4 linked regions of the Sus scrofa genome follow. The protein of the gene in region 1 interacts with the protein of each later gene in a pairwise test. Links are inferred from orthologs where the notes say so. Each region holds a gene or a part of one and is shown in the gene's direction. Other genes may lie near its edges.

Region 1 (3,852 bases):
AGCTATAGTTTCAAAATTTCTTTGCCTTTTCTATAACACACACTAAACAAGGAGAAATCATAATGTTTTTGAAGCCCCTTCTCCATATCTCCATTGGTTTTATTTTAAGATGCCACTGACTTCTCTGATTCTTTTTCTCAAAGCTCTGTTTACTAGCGAACTTCTTAGGCAAGAACAGGCCAAACTAAATGAAGCAAGAAAGATTTCAGTGGTAAACGTAAACCCAACCAACATTCGGCCTCATAGCGACACGCCAGAAATCAGAAAATACAAGAAGCGATTCAACTCAGAAATACTTTGTGCAGCTCTGTGGGGTGAGTTGGTGCTTTTTACTGTTCATTAATGAATTGACCCTCAAACGTGAAAAGCCTATGGGTCTTAACCATCAGAAGGGTGCTGACTGAATTGGGTGTTAGACTTGGGATCATCTTGACCTCAGGAAAGTTCGAAAACAATATTATATGGAGAAAGAGCTAATACCCTAATTCCCAGGATAACAGAATGGGACTCGGAATGACCTTGTCATGTAATAGTGATGGACTAAAGCCAACAACAGGACTAGCTACCATTCAGTACCTACCCCTGTGTGCCCAGCTCTAGGTGATGTGCTCCACATTCTGTCTCCCTGATGCATACAACATTCTACAAGGGGATGTGACCCCTTGTAGAAGAAAAGCAGCCCAGAATCTATCAGTGAATTGTCAAAAGCCATACCAGTAAGAGTAGCAAGATAAAACCTGAAAAGGGCGACAAATGATGAGTCTTCCATTTTAGTTCAAAACATCAACCTGCAGTTCTTATAAAAAAGATCTGCAGGTTTGAGATGACCTCAGACTCAGGATAGGTGTGATGAGAGCCTATCAAAATCCTGGTCTGTGTTACCATAAACATCAAGAGAGGACATGGCCCATCTGTACCCACATATCACACTAGGCCTAGTTCAGGGCACCACCATTTTACAAGGGCAAACGCATTTGAGATGTTAGCAGGGCCGAGCATGAAACCTAGAAGCTATTTCATGGGAAATGTGGTCAAGCCTGTGGTTGAAACACTTGATGGTTGAAAGACATGTGTCATGGTTTCTATGAACATGTGGTTGAAAGAGCAGACCTTCATGTTACTTAGAAGAAAGTTGTACAATAAGCCAGAGAAGTTGGACATTTACCTGTTTGTGAATATAGGCCATTGTATAGTCGACCTCCCAGCATGTGTACACGTCTGTGTGTGTGGTGAGAGTGCACGGGGTGCTCATTTGCCTAAGGATGAATCTTCAGGATCGTAGCTATTCAGACAAGACCACTTACCTACCTACCGGAGTTTTTGTAACAGGAATTAACTGCATGGGAGGTGGACTGGTCTAGAATCACAGTCAGTATTTGCCTGACCCTCAGGCCCTTAACACCTTCACTTGAATTGGCTCATCATGTCCCCAGCAAAGGGTGTAGGACACAAATTAAGCCTTGGTGTGAGGAGGAGGGAGGGCTTTTCCTCCTGTAGGATATGGGAGGAGGGCATCTATGCCCAAGGTGGGTAGGCTGGAAATCACTGCATGAATAGGAGTGAGGTGAACCTTGGGGAAGTCTCGGGAGGATTTAAAGAGAGAGCCAAGAAAAGGGTGGGTGTTACAGGAAAGGAATCAAGGTAAACTGTGTCAGCTTCACAGCTGTGCCTCAGGCCCCTCTTGAGAAAAATTCTATTCTAGGTAGTACAGAGCTACCTGTAATGAACGCTGCTGCCACTTCATAAAAGAGAACTAATTTCGTTACCAGAGGGATGGTGATTTAATTACTGTCTCAGAGTTTCTACTTCTCCACTCCCTACTGTAGTGCCTGCTTGCCCGTTAGTTTATATTTGCAAGGGAGTTTCTTAGGTTTTTTACGGGGACCCTAGATGTAGAAGAGTAAAGCCCATAAGAGTCAGTCTTGGGGGGCTTCTTCAATTTGCAGGTGTAAATCTCCTGGTGGGAACCGAAAATGGCCTGATGCTTTTGGACCGAAGTGGGCAAGGCAAAGTTTATAATCTGATCAACCGGAGGCGGTTTCAGCAGATGGATGTGCTAGAGGGACTGAATGTCCTCGTGACAATATCAGGTACGTCGCTGGATGGCCGAGTCCTCCGGGTCTGCGCAGGTGGGAAAGGCAATCACCTTGCTTCTGAAGGAACAGCAAGCTCTGCCCTTCCCACGCAGCGAGCTGAATTACGGCAGCAGAGCCAGAGTGACATCACCCACGTTTTGTCACTCTAGAGGTTCTCACCTTCAAAGGGAAGTCTCTCACCTCTGCCTGAAATCTGAATCAGGACATAGCACAAAGGCTGTGCACTTAAGGGCCCGAATGCTCTGCCGGGACTCAGCAAGGATCTTTTTAAGGTGTCTACATGCTGGTCACTGCCATCTACTCTCAGATGCAAGTATAAAAAAGTAGGCTTCTGGGAGTGAGGAGTTTTGTAAGCAGAAATTTCTCTGGGCTCCTTTCTAGTTCACTGACACCTTGGTAAATGCAGCTGGCCCATTGAGTGATTGAGTCTGCAAGGTGATTTGAATGTAGGAATCATTATGGCTACACTGCAGCTTTCTGGTTCCCCAAAAGAGCTTCAAAAAAGATGGAGACAGAAGTGAAGGCTTTATTAATGACAAGTTAAAAATGTGACCTGAAGGAGTCCATGTTTACTGGAAGTTTTTTTTTGGGGGGGTGTGTGAAGGCATTTAATAAATAACAACCCTCTCTTCCCTTCCCCTCCCATCCCATCCAGTATGAAACTGACTGTCCCCCATGCATTAGAACCCCATGAGGAGATGTGCAAAATCCAGGATGTGCCTCAGACTAGCGGGTCAGAATCTCAGGGCCTGTGGTCCAGGTCTCAGAAGCTTTCATAGCACCTGAGGCATTTCCACTGTGCAGCCATGCCTGAGAACCAGCCATTGTTTCACAAAGAGAAACCGAGCTAAGGTGGGGTGGGGGGTGGCGGGGGGGGCAGTTCACCCCCTCTGTGCCAACACAGATCAGAGGGCAGTTCAAGAATCTTTGGCTCCTATTTCCGTTTTCCTCTTTCCCTACCAATGGAAAGAAGAACCTGGATCGAACCCTGAATAAAGTTTAACTCTACAGCTGCATTTCTGTTTTGAGAAAATGCCTTCATTTGCAGTTCCCTCTTTCTTTGACCTTTCCACTGAATACTCAGAGGTTTCATCTCTTTTTATTCTCCCCAAATAAAGGTGAACCCAGTAAATTCTTCTTGTCCTATCATTCGAGTTCAATTCAGTGTAGTCCTTTATCCTGGTTAATGCTTTCTTGATTGCTGCACTACCAATTCAAATATATCTGCCAGTCACCTACCAAAAGTGGAAATGATAGAAGAAAATTCATGGTTAGGCCTCATTGTGTTGTTAGTGACAGATCCCATTTTTAAAAGTATAACAGTTTCCTGCACGTTGGTAGGGAAAGAAGAAAATGGAAATAGGAGCCAAAGATTCTTGAACTGCCCTCTGATCTGTGTTGGCCCAGAGAGAAGGAAGCACCCCCACCCTCCTCCCACCCACCTTAGCTGTTGGGGTCCATGCATAATCAGTGCTTTCAGTTATAAAAGAATAGTAACTGCACAGGGGTTCCCTTAATTTAAGTTATAAACGTGCTCTCTTGTCAAATCCAGTGTGCAGTGCTTTAGTGAATCTGTTTTTCTGGTGTATATTACATCTGCAACTTATAAAACATGTTTTGATGCCTAAGAGAAATCAAAGGAAAATAAGGACCCAAGAAGTATACCCCACAGGCCTGAATTACTGATCACGTGGTAAAAGCCACCCCAAGGGACATGTTCTTATCTGGTATTTGTACAATCTTAGATCGTATATTA
Region 2 (3,852 bases), on another chromosome or scaffold:
ATGGGTCAGGTTTGTATTTATAAATATTATAATGATTATGTTAGATGACCTAGAGTAGAAATCCCAGATGAGAGATCATTTAGGAGGCTGTCGATACAATGTTACAGTGGTAAGGACAGCTAAAAAGGGATACAGAGGAGAGAGTAAAATTGATGAGACAGAAATGACAGTTTATGGGGGAAGAGGAAAGTTAACTTCCAGGTTTCTGACCTGTGTGATTGAGAAGATGATAAAACACTGGTAATAAAGCAGCAGCAGTTTGGGGGGTGGGGAGGAGGGCAGATAATGAGTTCATTTTGGACATGTTTTATAGTCTAGGTACCTGTGGGATGTCTTGGAAGAGATCATTTCCAAGCAGTTGGAAATATAGATCTAGAGCTTAGCAGAGAGTTCTGAGTTGAAGGTAGAGATTTGGGAATTCATCTCACATTGGCAATAATACTAGCAACCTGTGCAGTGGCATGTATACATATATATATATAAAGTGATACATAAAGTATATATAAAAATGGAAACTATAAGCATGGATGACACTGCTGGGAATATGTAGTGTGAAGAGAGACCGAGGATGAGACTCATTACTTACGGTGGAATAACATGAAGTCCTTTCTGGATTCCCATCTTGGCTCTGCCACTTTATCAGCTATGGGCCTTGGGAAATTGACTTCTTTGTATCTGTTCCTTTGTAAAGCAGGAGTAGTAACAGTACCTAACTCACAGGGTGTTTTTGTATTAAATGGTATAATACATGCACCACACTTAGAACCCTGCCTTGGTGCTATTATTAAATGGAGGAGGCAGTGAAGAAAGTCAGGAATGGATCAGAGACATAGAAATGGGGTATCACAGATGCTAGGGGAAGAGGGTTTCTAGGAATAAGTAGTCAACAGGGTCAGGTGCTGCAGAAGTCAGGTAAGATTTGGGTTAAAAAAAAAGTCACAGAATTTTGAAAGTGGAAAATAATTGGTAACATTTGAAAGGAATGTAGGACTAGTAGATGGAAAAACCAGAAAACATTCCGGTGAGGAAAAGTGAGCAATAACAAAGGAACATGTATAGATTTAGGTTCCTGGGCAGTTTGGTGGTGAAGGGAAATAATGTAGCTCGAGGGAAAAGCTGATTTGGGAAAGGGTTGTTTTTTATTATTTTTGCTTTTAGGAGATTTTAGATATGAGCATGTTTTTAGGATTGAAAAAGAAAGCAAGTGGAAGATAAATTGAAGATGACAGAGAAGCCAGAGCCCTAGAGGGCTAGGTTCAGCAGCACAGGTTAGCTTTCAGAAGGAAAAGAGCACATCTTGCTCTGAGAAAATAGTTGTGGATACAGGTGATTCACTTAAGTTTTTTTTTGTTTTTGTTTTTTGTTTTTTTTTTTTAAATCAGGGGGGTGGGTAGGAATTGAGGGAATTCAGGCCTGATAATTTTAATTTTCTTTGCAGTAGGAAAGTAGGCTATCTACTATCAACCAATAACTTCATTGGAAGGAATTGAAAAATGTGATAAATATTTGGAAAGCTCATGGAATAAAATAGGGGACTAAATAGGAGACTAAATAGGGACAAGAAAAAGGACTCCTGAGCAGAGTTCAACTCTACTTAGAAATGACACTTAACACTTTAAAAATAAAAAACTTTTCAACAGTTTTCCCCCCATGAGCCCTCCAGATTTATGATCCAAAGCTGACAGTGACATGATGTTTCTAGCATATGGAGCAAGGAGATTGAAGACAAAAGGATATTGCTTTTTCTACTATGAAATGGATAATCATGCCCTCCTACCAAATTTGGGGGTGAAATGTCATGAATTTGACATCCAACAGTAGAGCAGGTGAAAAGCCAGAATTTTGGCAGCATTTTCTCTATGAAAATCTTTGTATGTTCTGTTCCAAACTAACAGTTGCAGTAGCCTTTTAATTGAAACACTAAAACAAGGTTTTTGGGAACAGTATGACTCAGATCACATTTATTTTTAGAGCTGGAATTCAGAAAATAATGATGATAATAATACAGTCAGGTGGAATAAGGGATGAGAAATTCAGTAAAGTGGATTGGTGGAATACACTCAATCCCCATGATTGTTATAATTAGCTCTAATAGGCTATTGGGAGGTGTCATGGTATAGAAGTGAAGTTGATGAAATCAAAAACCCTTACTTGAGGAAGGTGGTTCTGGCTAATACATGAAAAAGACTAGTTTCCGGGAGTTCCCTTCATGGCTCAGTGGTTAACGAACCTGACTAGGATCCATGAGGATGCGGGTTCGATCCCTGGCCTCGCTCTGTGGGTTAAGGATCCAGCATCACTGTGAGCTGTGGTATAGGTTGCAGACATGGCTTGGATCCTGTGTGGCTGTGGCTGTGGCAAAAGCCAGCGGCTAGAGCTCCAATTCACCCCCTAGCCTGGGAACCTCCATATGCCACAGTGTGCCCCCCCCCCAAAAAAAAGACTGGTTTTCTACCTTATAGATAAACTAACCCAGGTAATTAAATATTAAGTAACTGCTGTTCAGGGAATCCCATCATGCAACCTGCTGGATAGGGCATATGGCCCACAGTGGTTCAAGCAGAGGGCCTATTTGAGGATTAAACAGGGATGTAAAGTGCTGGAGAGAACCTTACCTAGTAGAACCTATAACAGATACCAGAAACAGTGATAACATGGCCACATCATTTAAGTATACTTATGTTCATTTCATCTTCCCCTAGTCAAAAAGTTCAGTTTTAATACAATAAAAAGGGTAGTAATTGAGGAGAGTTTGTAAGTAACAAGTACTGCAATCTAGAGCCAGGCAGTGTGACTCCATTGCTCACATCATTAACCACTAAAGCTATGACTACTTCAAGAATGTTAAAGCACCTTGTAAAAATCTTTTTAAACTACTGTGTATGCATGAATTATGATACCCTAATCCAGAAACATCCTTTTTTTTTTAATGTAAAGAACTCAATGAATATCCACTGTAGCAGTAAAAGGTTACTCAGTAGGAGTAGGATCCTTTTGCTAAGGTTTTCTCCAGGTACTAAGAAAACAGTGAATGTAAACAACCAGTGGATCTGGAAGTGGTTTAGATCTGAAAGTTCCAAAGTGCACTGTAGATGATCAATTATCTCAGTATGTAGCTGGGCCCGAGGGTCTCCAGTGTACTGCCACTCCAAGCACTCAATATTCAACTACAAATTACTTCCTAACAGTTGCCTCTGAGTTTTTGCTGACATTTTCCCTTCAACTAAAAGGCCCTTCTTTGCCTAGGACATTTGAGCTGGCCATAAACATTCTTAATGCAAAATAACCCTACATCTGACCTATTTTATAATTCTCACAGGAGATGCTGAACATAAGCCATATATCTGTGGGGATGCAGATTCTGCTTCTACTGTTCTGGATGGAACTGAAGACTACCTCATTCTGGCCTGTGATGGCTTCTATGATACCGTGAACCCTGATGAGGCAGTGAAAGTTGTGTCTGACCACTTGAAGGAGAATAATGGAGACAGCAGCATGGTTGCCCACAAATTAGTGGCATCAGCTCGTGATGCTGGGTCAAGTGATAACATCACTGTTATTGTGGTATTCCTGAGGGACATGAACAAAGCTGTAAATGTTAGTGAGGAATCAGATTGGACAGAGAACTCTTTTCAAGGAGGGCAAGAAGATGGTGGGGATGATAAGGAGAATCATGGAGAGTGCAAACGCCCTTGGCCTCAGCACCAGTGTTCAGCACCAGCCGATCTAGGCTATGATGGGCGCGTGGATTCATTCACTGATAGAACTAGCCTGAGCCCAGGGTCCCAAATCAACGTGCTGGAAGACCCAGGCTACCTAGATCTCACACAGATAGAAGCAAGCAAACCTCAC
Region 3 (3,852 bases), on another chromosome or scaffold:
ATACTTGAAAAACTTGGTTTTTAATAGCAGACCATTCCATCTTAATGCTGAGGTGTAATTCATCTGTAATTCTTTGGTTGACCCTTTATTTTGTTTTTGATTTTCTTACTGGGATGAACATCCTTATAGATACCTCCTTAGACACATCTTTAATGACGCTAGAAGGAGAAATTTCTAGAAGTGGTATTACTGGGTCAAAGGTGTGCATATTTTTAAGGCTTTTGATATATATTGTCAGAGTTCCCTCTAGAAAGAGTGCACCAATTTGTATGCTGCCTACAGTATAAAGGTATTTCCAGTTACTTCCACCAGGTCTGAATTGGTGTTATTATCAAGAAAACCCAGGGAGTTCCACAGTGGGTTAAGTAGCCAGTGTTGTCACCGCAGCAGCCCAGATCACTGCTGTGCCCTGTGTTTGATCCTTGGCCGAGAAACTTCCACAGGCTGTGGGCCTGGCCAAAAACAACAAAACAAAACATAACAACCCCCCTCTGAAAGTATCACCGATTGGATTGTGAATTTTGTGTCTCACTGTTTTACATTTCTTCTCAATTTTTCATGAGAGCAAGTATTTCTTTTATTGCTTTTGGTCATTTGTATTTTTTTCTCCTTTCTGCTACCTGCTTATTTCCTTTGCCCACTTTTCTATTGGATTTAGAGCAGGTTTCCTAACTCGGAGAGATGCATTTATCTCCTCAGATCCTGCATTTATTTATTTATTTATCTTTTTAGGGCCACACCTGTGGCATATGGAGGTTCCCAGGCTAGGGTTCAAATTGGAGCCATAGCCACCATACACCATAGCCACAGCAATGCCAGATCCGAGCTGAATCTGTGACCTACGCCACAGCTCATGGTAATGCGGCAGATCCTGCATTTTAAAGGGACGTGGAGCATAAGTGGTGGAGATGAGACAGTGTGGGGCAGGACATGGGGAAAGTGATTGGTATCCAGGATAAGCTACAGGGGCCAGAGGCTGACAGACATGCTTTCATTGGATAGATCTAAGGTCTGCATCTGTGTCTTTGAAAGGGACAGCTGTTCCAGCCAAGGGATGTTTCCTGAAAAGGCATTGCAGCCCCTTCAATTTTTTAAAAGCTTTTCTTTCTGTTTTCTTTTGTTTGTTTGTTTGTTTGTTTGTTTTGTCTTTTCTAGGGCCGTACCTGAGGCATATGGAGGTTCCCAGGCTAGGGGTCTGATCGGAGCTGTTGCCACAGGCCTACACCACAGCCACAGCAACGCCAGATCCAAGCCGCATCTGTGATCTACACCGAAGCTCACAGCAACGCTTGATCCTTAACCCACTGAACGAGGCCAGGGATCGAATCCGCAACCTCATGGTTCCTAGGAGGATTCGTTTCTGCTGCGCCACGGTGGGAGCTCCTTAAAACCTTTTTACTTTGAAGTAATTATAGATTGGGCGGAATGTGCAAAGACAGAGCAGAGGAGTCCTGTCTGTCCTTCATCCGGTTTCCCCTGTCATTTCATTTACATAATCATCGTGATATCCACACCCAAGACCAGCAGTGCAGTGATGTGTGTATAGTTCTGTATCATTTTGTCATAGGTAGATTCATGCCATCATCAGTGCAATTAGGACACAGATGTCCTCTGTCACCTCAGAGATCCCCTTCCTGCTGCCCTTTTATCGTCACACCTGCCCCTAACCCCTGGAGGGATCTCCATCTCACCCCGATCTGTCTGTCGTCCAGCTCTGTCACTTGATTATTTTGAAGATGTGATAGAAATGAAATCATACAGTTGGTGACCTTTGGAGGTTGCCTTTTTCATTTAGCACAGTGCCCCCTAATATCCACGTTGCCATGTGTATCAGATATGTGTTCCTTTTTATTGCTAAAACATTTCAACTTTTTAACCTGCTTTTGGGGTGTGTGTGTGTGTGATTGTCCTCCTCAGGTCACTGGGAAGATGGATGAGAACCAGTTTGTGGCTGTGACCAGCACCAACGCAGCCAAAGTCTTCAACCTGTACCCCCGGAAAGGCCGCATCGCTGTAGGATCCGATGCCGACTTGGTCATCTGGGACCCGGACAGCGTGAAAACCATCTCTGCCAAGACCCATAATAGCGTAAGCCCTGGTCACTTCGTGGACCCAACCCAAATGAATTACAGTCACAGAAAGTGACAGGTGGGGCAATTCCCCTGGATTTACAAAAAGAACTCTGTGATAGGAGTGAACTTTCCCCCAGGAGATGTGATAACTTGCACGTTGCTAAGAAAAACAGCTTTCCTTTTCTTTAGTGAGGTCAGTGAGACTGTTAATCTCTTCCTCACTTTGGAGTATGGTAGCATCTCTTTGCATAGACATCTCTATCTATGGACCTTTAGAGTCTCTGGCTGTCATGCCTGGCCATCAGAAGCTTCTGGAAGTCAGACAGCATTCCATTTTAATAGTTTGATGCAGCACCAAGAGATCCAAATAAAACATTCAGATGTCCACTCCCCAGAAGCCCACTGGCATTCTTATTCTTTGAAGCCACTGTTTTCTCATGTCAGGGTTGTGCCCGGAAGCCTAAAAGGCAGATGGTCTTATGTCCTAAAGGAATGAATTGACTTTGACTTTCCCCCACATAGAATCAGTACTGTGGCAGCTGTTCTCATCAGGCTTTTAGGGTCTGCAGTTCTGGGGTATCTCTTGTTTCTCTGTCTAGACTGCATGCTTGGGAAGACCCTGTCTTGTAAATGGGACCCTGGGCAAGGGACTTCGTGTCATGTCTTGGGCTTGTCGGCTGAGAATGAGGGGTTTAGATGAGGCTCCTGCGTGTTCTGTGATTCTGTGAGGTCAGGGAGAATTAGGTAGAAGTGTTAGTTAGCATTGGTTCTTCATAGAAAAAATTGTGTGTGTGTGTGGTATTGAAAGGACATGGATAAAGGGCAAGCTCTGGAAAAGAAATGGACATAGGTTTTATATGTTTTATGTCAGAAACCCATACAAATCTTTTTTTTTTTTTTTTCCTTTTTTAGGGCCGCGTCCTGTGGCATATGGAGGTTCCCAGGCTAGGGGTCTAGTTGGAGCTGTAGCCACTGGCCTACGCCAGAGCCGCAGCAATGCAGGATCTGAGCCACATCTGTGACCTACACAACAGCTCACGGCAACGCCTGATCCTTAACCCTGAACAAGGCCAGGGATCCAACCTGCAACCTTATGGTTCCTCGTCAGATTCATTAACCACTGCGCCACAATGGGACTCCAGTGAATTCTTTTTTAAAAAAAAAATTTTATTACAGTTGATTTTTAATGTTCTGTCAATTTCTACTGTACAGCAAAGTGACCCAGTTATACATATATACATTGCTTTTCTCATATTTTACATCATGCTCTATCACAAGTGATTAGATACAGTTCCCTGTGCTTTTCAGCAGGACATCTTAGTGAATGAAGAGGCTGTTCTAGATCAAGTTCTAAATTGAAAGCTGGCTTAACAGGGCATCTGATTCTAGATTGCCCGCCCCAGGTGGCCTGGGCCAGCAAGTGCTGACACCTCCTCCAAGGGCTGCGACAGCTCCGGGGGCTGGGAAGGTGTCTGGCATTGCTCCAGGACAGCGCTGGGCCCTTGGCCGAATCCTGGTCCCCTTTGCCATTTAGAGGTGTTTGGGCTGCACTGGTACCTGTGGTGCAGAGATGGAGGGTAACTTCAGAGAAGGATGCTCAGCTCTCAGTATGAAGAGTTGACTTTTTCATTCTTCCTCACTGACTGGCTGAGCTTTGCAGCAGAGCCTTACAGCCACACTGATGTGTGACTTCGTTCACAACCTCTCAGGGGTCCGGAAGGGGCTGCTTTTATGGGCAGGGGTCCCAGGGCCCTGCTTGGGGTACTACCTCTTCATATGC
Region 4 (3,852 bases), on another chromosome or scaffold:
CGAAGGTGAAAAGAAATAGAGGGGGAGGGGTTGAGGGGAGACAGGTGGTCTGGGACCCAAAGAAGAGCTAGGGGGAGGGGCCGGGGCCAAGGCATCAAAGTCCGGGGTCCCGGGCGGCGTGGGCCCACGTGGAGCCGGCGCTGAATCACTGCTGGGCTGTCTTCACCCCCCATCCCCCGGCCCGGTGCCCGCAGTCCCCGCCTCCTCGGCCGCCGCCTCCACGGGGCGGGGCCCTGGCCCGGGACCAGCCGCCGCGGCTATAAATGGGCTGCGGCGAGGCCAGCAGAACGCTGTGACAGCCACACGCCCCGAGGCCTCCAAGATGAGCTACACACTGGACTCGCTGGGCAACCCGTCCGCCTACCGGCGGGGAACCGAGACCCGCTCGAGCTTCAGCCGCGTTAGCGGCTCCCCTTCCAGCGGCTTCCGCTCGCAGTCGTGGTCCCGAGGCTCGCCCAGCACAGTGTCCTCCTCCTACAAGCGCAGCGCTCTAGCCCCGCGCCTCACCTACAGCTCGGCCATGCTCAGCTCCGCCGAGAGCAGCCTCGACTTCAGCCAGTCCTCCTCCCTGCTCAACGGCGGTTCCGGGCCGGGCGGCGACTACAAGCTGTCCCGCTCCAACGAGAAGGAGCAGCTGCAGGGGCTGAACGACCGCTTCGCGGGCTACATCGAGAAGGTGCACTACCTGGAGCAGCAGAACAAGGAGATCGAGGCGGAGATCCAGGCGCTGCGGCAGAAGCAGGCCTCGCACGCCCAGCTGGGCGACGCGTATGACCAGGAGATCCGTGAGCTGCGCGCCACACTCGAGCTGGTGAACCACGAGAAGGCTCAGGTACAGCTGGACTCGGACCACCTGGAAGAAGACATCCACCGACTCAAGGAGCGCTTCGAGGAGGAGGCACGGCTGCGCGACGACACCGAGGCGGCCATCCGCGCGCTGCGCAAAGACATCGAGGAGGCGTCGCTGGTCAAGGTGGAGCTGGACAAGAAAGTGCAGTCGCTGCAGGATGAGGTGGCCTTCTTGCGGAGCAATCACGAAGAGGAGGTGGCCGACCTGCTGGCTCAGATCCAGGCGTCGCACATCACGGTGGAGCGCAAAGATTACCTGAAGACTGACATCTCGTCGGCGCTGAAAGAGATCCGCTCCCAACTCGAGTGCCACTCCGACCAAAACATGCACCAGGCCGAAGAGTGGTTTAAATGCCGCTACGCCAAGCTCACCGAGGCTGCCGAGCAGAACAAGGAGGCCATCCGCTCCGCCAAGGAAGAGATCGCCGAGTACCGGCGCCAGCTGCAGTCCAAGAGCATCGAGCTCGAGTCAGTTCGAGGCACCAAGGAGTCCCTGGAGCGACAGCTCAGCGACATCGAGGAGCGCCACAACCACGACCTTAGCAGCTACCAGGTAAGAACCGCGGCTGCGCGGCCAGCCTGCGCCAGCGCCAGCGCCGCGCGCCCCCGACACTCAGGCCCGCGCCCCGCCGCTCTCTCTGCCGCGCTCCCTAGTGGCCGCTGTCCAGTGCGCGCGCGCGCGACGCAGACCCAAGTTAGAGGCTCAAAGCGTCCTCGCCCCTCCCCATCCCTTTCACCCCCCTCCCCAACGCACCATCCCTAGCTCTGAGAGCCCTGACCTTTTTCAAAACGCGCTTCTTTTCCTCGGGAGTTCTAGTTTTGCACGCTTGCGCATTTAAAGTAGGAGGTATACATTTGAGTAGTTGATAAAGCAGCAACTTTAGGATAGCTGTGCAGAAACTCATATATTCTCAACTTTTCCAGCCGTGATCGGAAGAACTCCCCCAATTGGCTTCAGCCCAAAGGGCTCAGATGGGAAGGGCCAGGTCAGCCGTGGGGTTTCCCCATGCATGTTTGTTTCCTGCTGAGACGTGTTCTAGATCCGCTGGTCCCAGTGCGTGATGTGCCCAGGAAATGTCTAGTTGTCTTATTGATCCTGTTTGTTGTTTGTTTGTGAATTCCTGAGGTTTTTATTTTAAGAGGGGTGGTCTGGGGGCGGTATGAGAGGTTGGCCAAGCAGGAGGGAGTTAAGGGAGGTGGGGGGGGGGGCGGAGAAGGAGGGAGTAGCAAGTGTTTTGCCAAAGAAGCGGCCATTTGGAAGGATGAGTCTGTGGCTGTGTCTGTTTCAGGACACCATCCAGCAGTTGGAAAATGAGCTTCGGGGCACAAAGTGGGAAATGGCTCGTCATTTGCGAGAATACCAGGATCTCCTCAACGTCAAGATGGCTTTGGATATCGAGATTGCTGCGTACAGGTACCATGCTCACTGTGGACTGGCAAAATACTAACCGTACTGCAGAGGCTGGACAGAACCTGCACCACTTAAGTTAAAGCAATCAGGCTTCAGGAATCTTAAATCAGTGCCGGGTTTTCTTTCTTAATTAAAAAGTAATTTCTCTAAAGAATTGCAACTTTTTATGCAGCTTTAAAAGAGTAAACATTAGTTAAAATAAAGTGTTTTGAGGGAGGGCACTTATTAATTTCAGTGCTTAAACTTTTGCTTATTTTAGCTAAAATGTTCTCTGAATATTTGAAATAAAAACAATTTTAGTTTTTAATATTTCATCTAGCGCTTTCAGCTTTTCAACTTTATCATGTCAAGGACAAACATCAGGACATTCCATTTCTGTTTCTCTGTGACAGCTTGCTGTTGCCATCATCTGGCTGAGAAGGAATGTAGATTGATAGAATATATGTTTTTCATTTAGATTTAGATTTATAGATCTAAATATATATCCAGAGATAGAAAGATTAGAAATCTATTAACTGTTAAATCTATTAAATCTATTCATTGATGTCACCTTACCATTGACTAAGTTCATAGTTGAAAATCCTTCACTAAACAGTTTTTTTCAAACTACCAATAAAGTCAGTAATATTACAAGAATAAATTGCACTCAACTAAGAACCATCTATATTTTCAGGAAGGCTGACAAATTACAGGCTGACAAATTTTATGATTAAAATTACAGGCCAATTTATAACTTGATACACATATTAGCACTTAGATATGATATATATATATATATATATATATATATATATATATAGCCTGAATTCTGATATATGCTAAATAGCTTTGTAAAACTTTTGAGTATTATATTTGCTAAAAGACATTTAGTAGATATCTGAAAATCCAAATACTCAAGAAGGTCACTTAAAAGTTTTTTCGGCCCCTACAGAGCTCTTCAGAATATTGTCTTGTACCAAATGGGCTTCGGCAGAGCTGAGATTTGATAGCTGGGTGAAGGTAGTAAACTATTGGGCATGGTTAGTTATTGCATTGAGTGATTGGCTGATTGTCCCTGAGATCTGTCTCTGTCATTGACTATGACAGTGAAATGATAGCAGGTATTACTTCTTGTGATTCTCTTTATTCAAAGGTACCTACCACATTAGCCAAAATGTAATGAAGTTCAAAAAGCCTGGTGAGATTTTAATTATGCCTTGTCTTCTTCAATTACCTCCTCAGGAAACTTCTGGAGGGTGAAGAGACCAGATTTAGCACATTTGCAGGAAGCATCACTGGGCCTCTGTATACACACCGACAGCCCTCCATCACAATATCCAGTAAGATTCAGAAAACCAAGGTGGAGGCTCCCAAGCTAAAGGTCCAACACAAATTTGTTGAGGAGATCATAGAGGAAACCAAGGTGGAGGATGAGAAATCAGAAATGGAAGAAGCCCTGACTGCCATTGCGGAGGAATTGGCAGTTTCCATGAAAGAGGAGGTCAAGGAAGAAGAGGCTGAAGAAAAGGAAGAGAAACAAGAAGCTGAAGAAGTTGTAGCTGCGAAGAAGTCTCCGGTGAAAGCTGCTGCACCTGAACTTAAAGGAGAGGAGG

What was found.
Region 2: the proteins of TNIK (region 1) and PPM1E interact in a two-hybrid assay, tested with the Homo sapiens proteins (2 studies listed by BioGRID and IntAct). The link is inferred for Sus scrofa from reciprocal best matches to the Homo sapiens genes TNIK and PPM1E.
Region 3: the proteins of TNIK (region 1) and DPYSL2 interact in a two-hybrid assay, tested with the Homo sapiens proteins (2 studies listed by BioGRID and IntAct). The link is inferred for Sus scrofa from reciprocal best matches to the Homo sapiens genes TNIK and DPYSL2.
Region 4: the proteins of TNIK (region 1) and NEFM interact in a two-hybrid assay, tested with the Homo sapiens proteins (2 studies listed by BioGRID and IntAct). The link is inferred for Sus scrofa from reciprocal best matches to the Homo sapiens genes TNIK and NEFM.

Annotation. Positions count from the first base shown.
Region 1 is NC_010455.5:109,660,675-109,664,526, reverse strand, and holds part of TNIK (TRAF2 and NCK-interacting protein kinase), read left to right. Parts: intron 1-143; coding exon 144-314; intron 315-1,946; coding exon 1,947-2,090; intron 2,091-3,852. UniProt on the Homo sapiens protein: Serine/threonine kinase that acts as an essential activator of the Wnt signaling pathway. Recruited to promoters of Wnt target genes and required to activate their expression. May act by phosphorylating TCF4/TCF7L2.
Region 2 is NC_010454.4:35,254,231-35,258,082, forward strand, and holds part of PPM1E (protein phosphatase 1E), read left to right. Parts: intron 1-3,319; coding exon 3,320-3,852. UniProt on the Homo sapiens protein: Protein phosphatase that inactivates multifunctional CaM kinases such as CAMK4 and CAMK2. Dephosphorylates and inactivates PAK. May play a role in the inhibition of actin fiber stress breakdown and in morphological changes driven by TNK2/CDC42.
Region 3 is NC_010456.5:10,532,893-10,536,744, forward strand, and holds part of DPYSL2 (dihydropyrimidinase-related protein 2), read left to right. Parts: intron 1-1,917; coding exon 1,918-2,088; intron 2,089-3,852.
Region 4 is NC_010456.5:8,961,641-8,965,492, forward strand, and holds part of NEFM (neurofilament medium polypeptide), read left to right. Parts: 5' UTR 1-322; coding exon 323-1,402; intron 1,403-2,138; coding exon 2,139-2,263; intron 2,264-3,481; coding exon 3,482-3,852. UniProt on the Homo sapiens protein: Neurofilaments usually contain three intermediate filament proteins: NEFL, NEFM, and NEFH which are involved in the maintenance of neuronal caliber.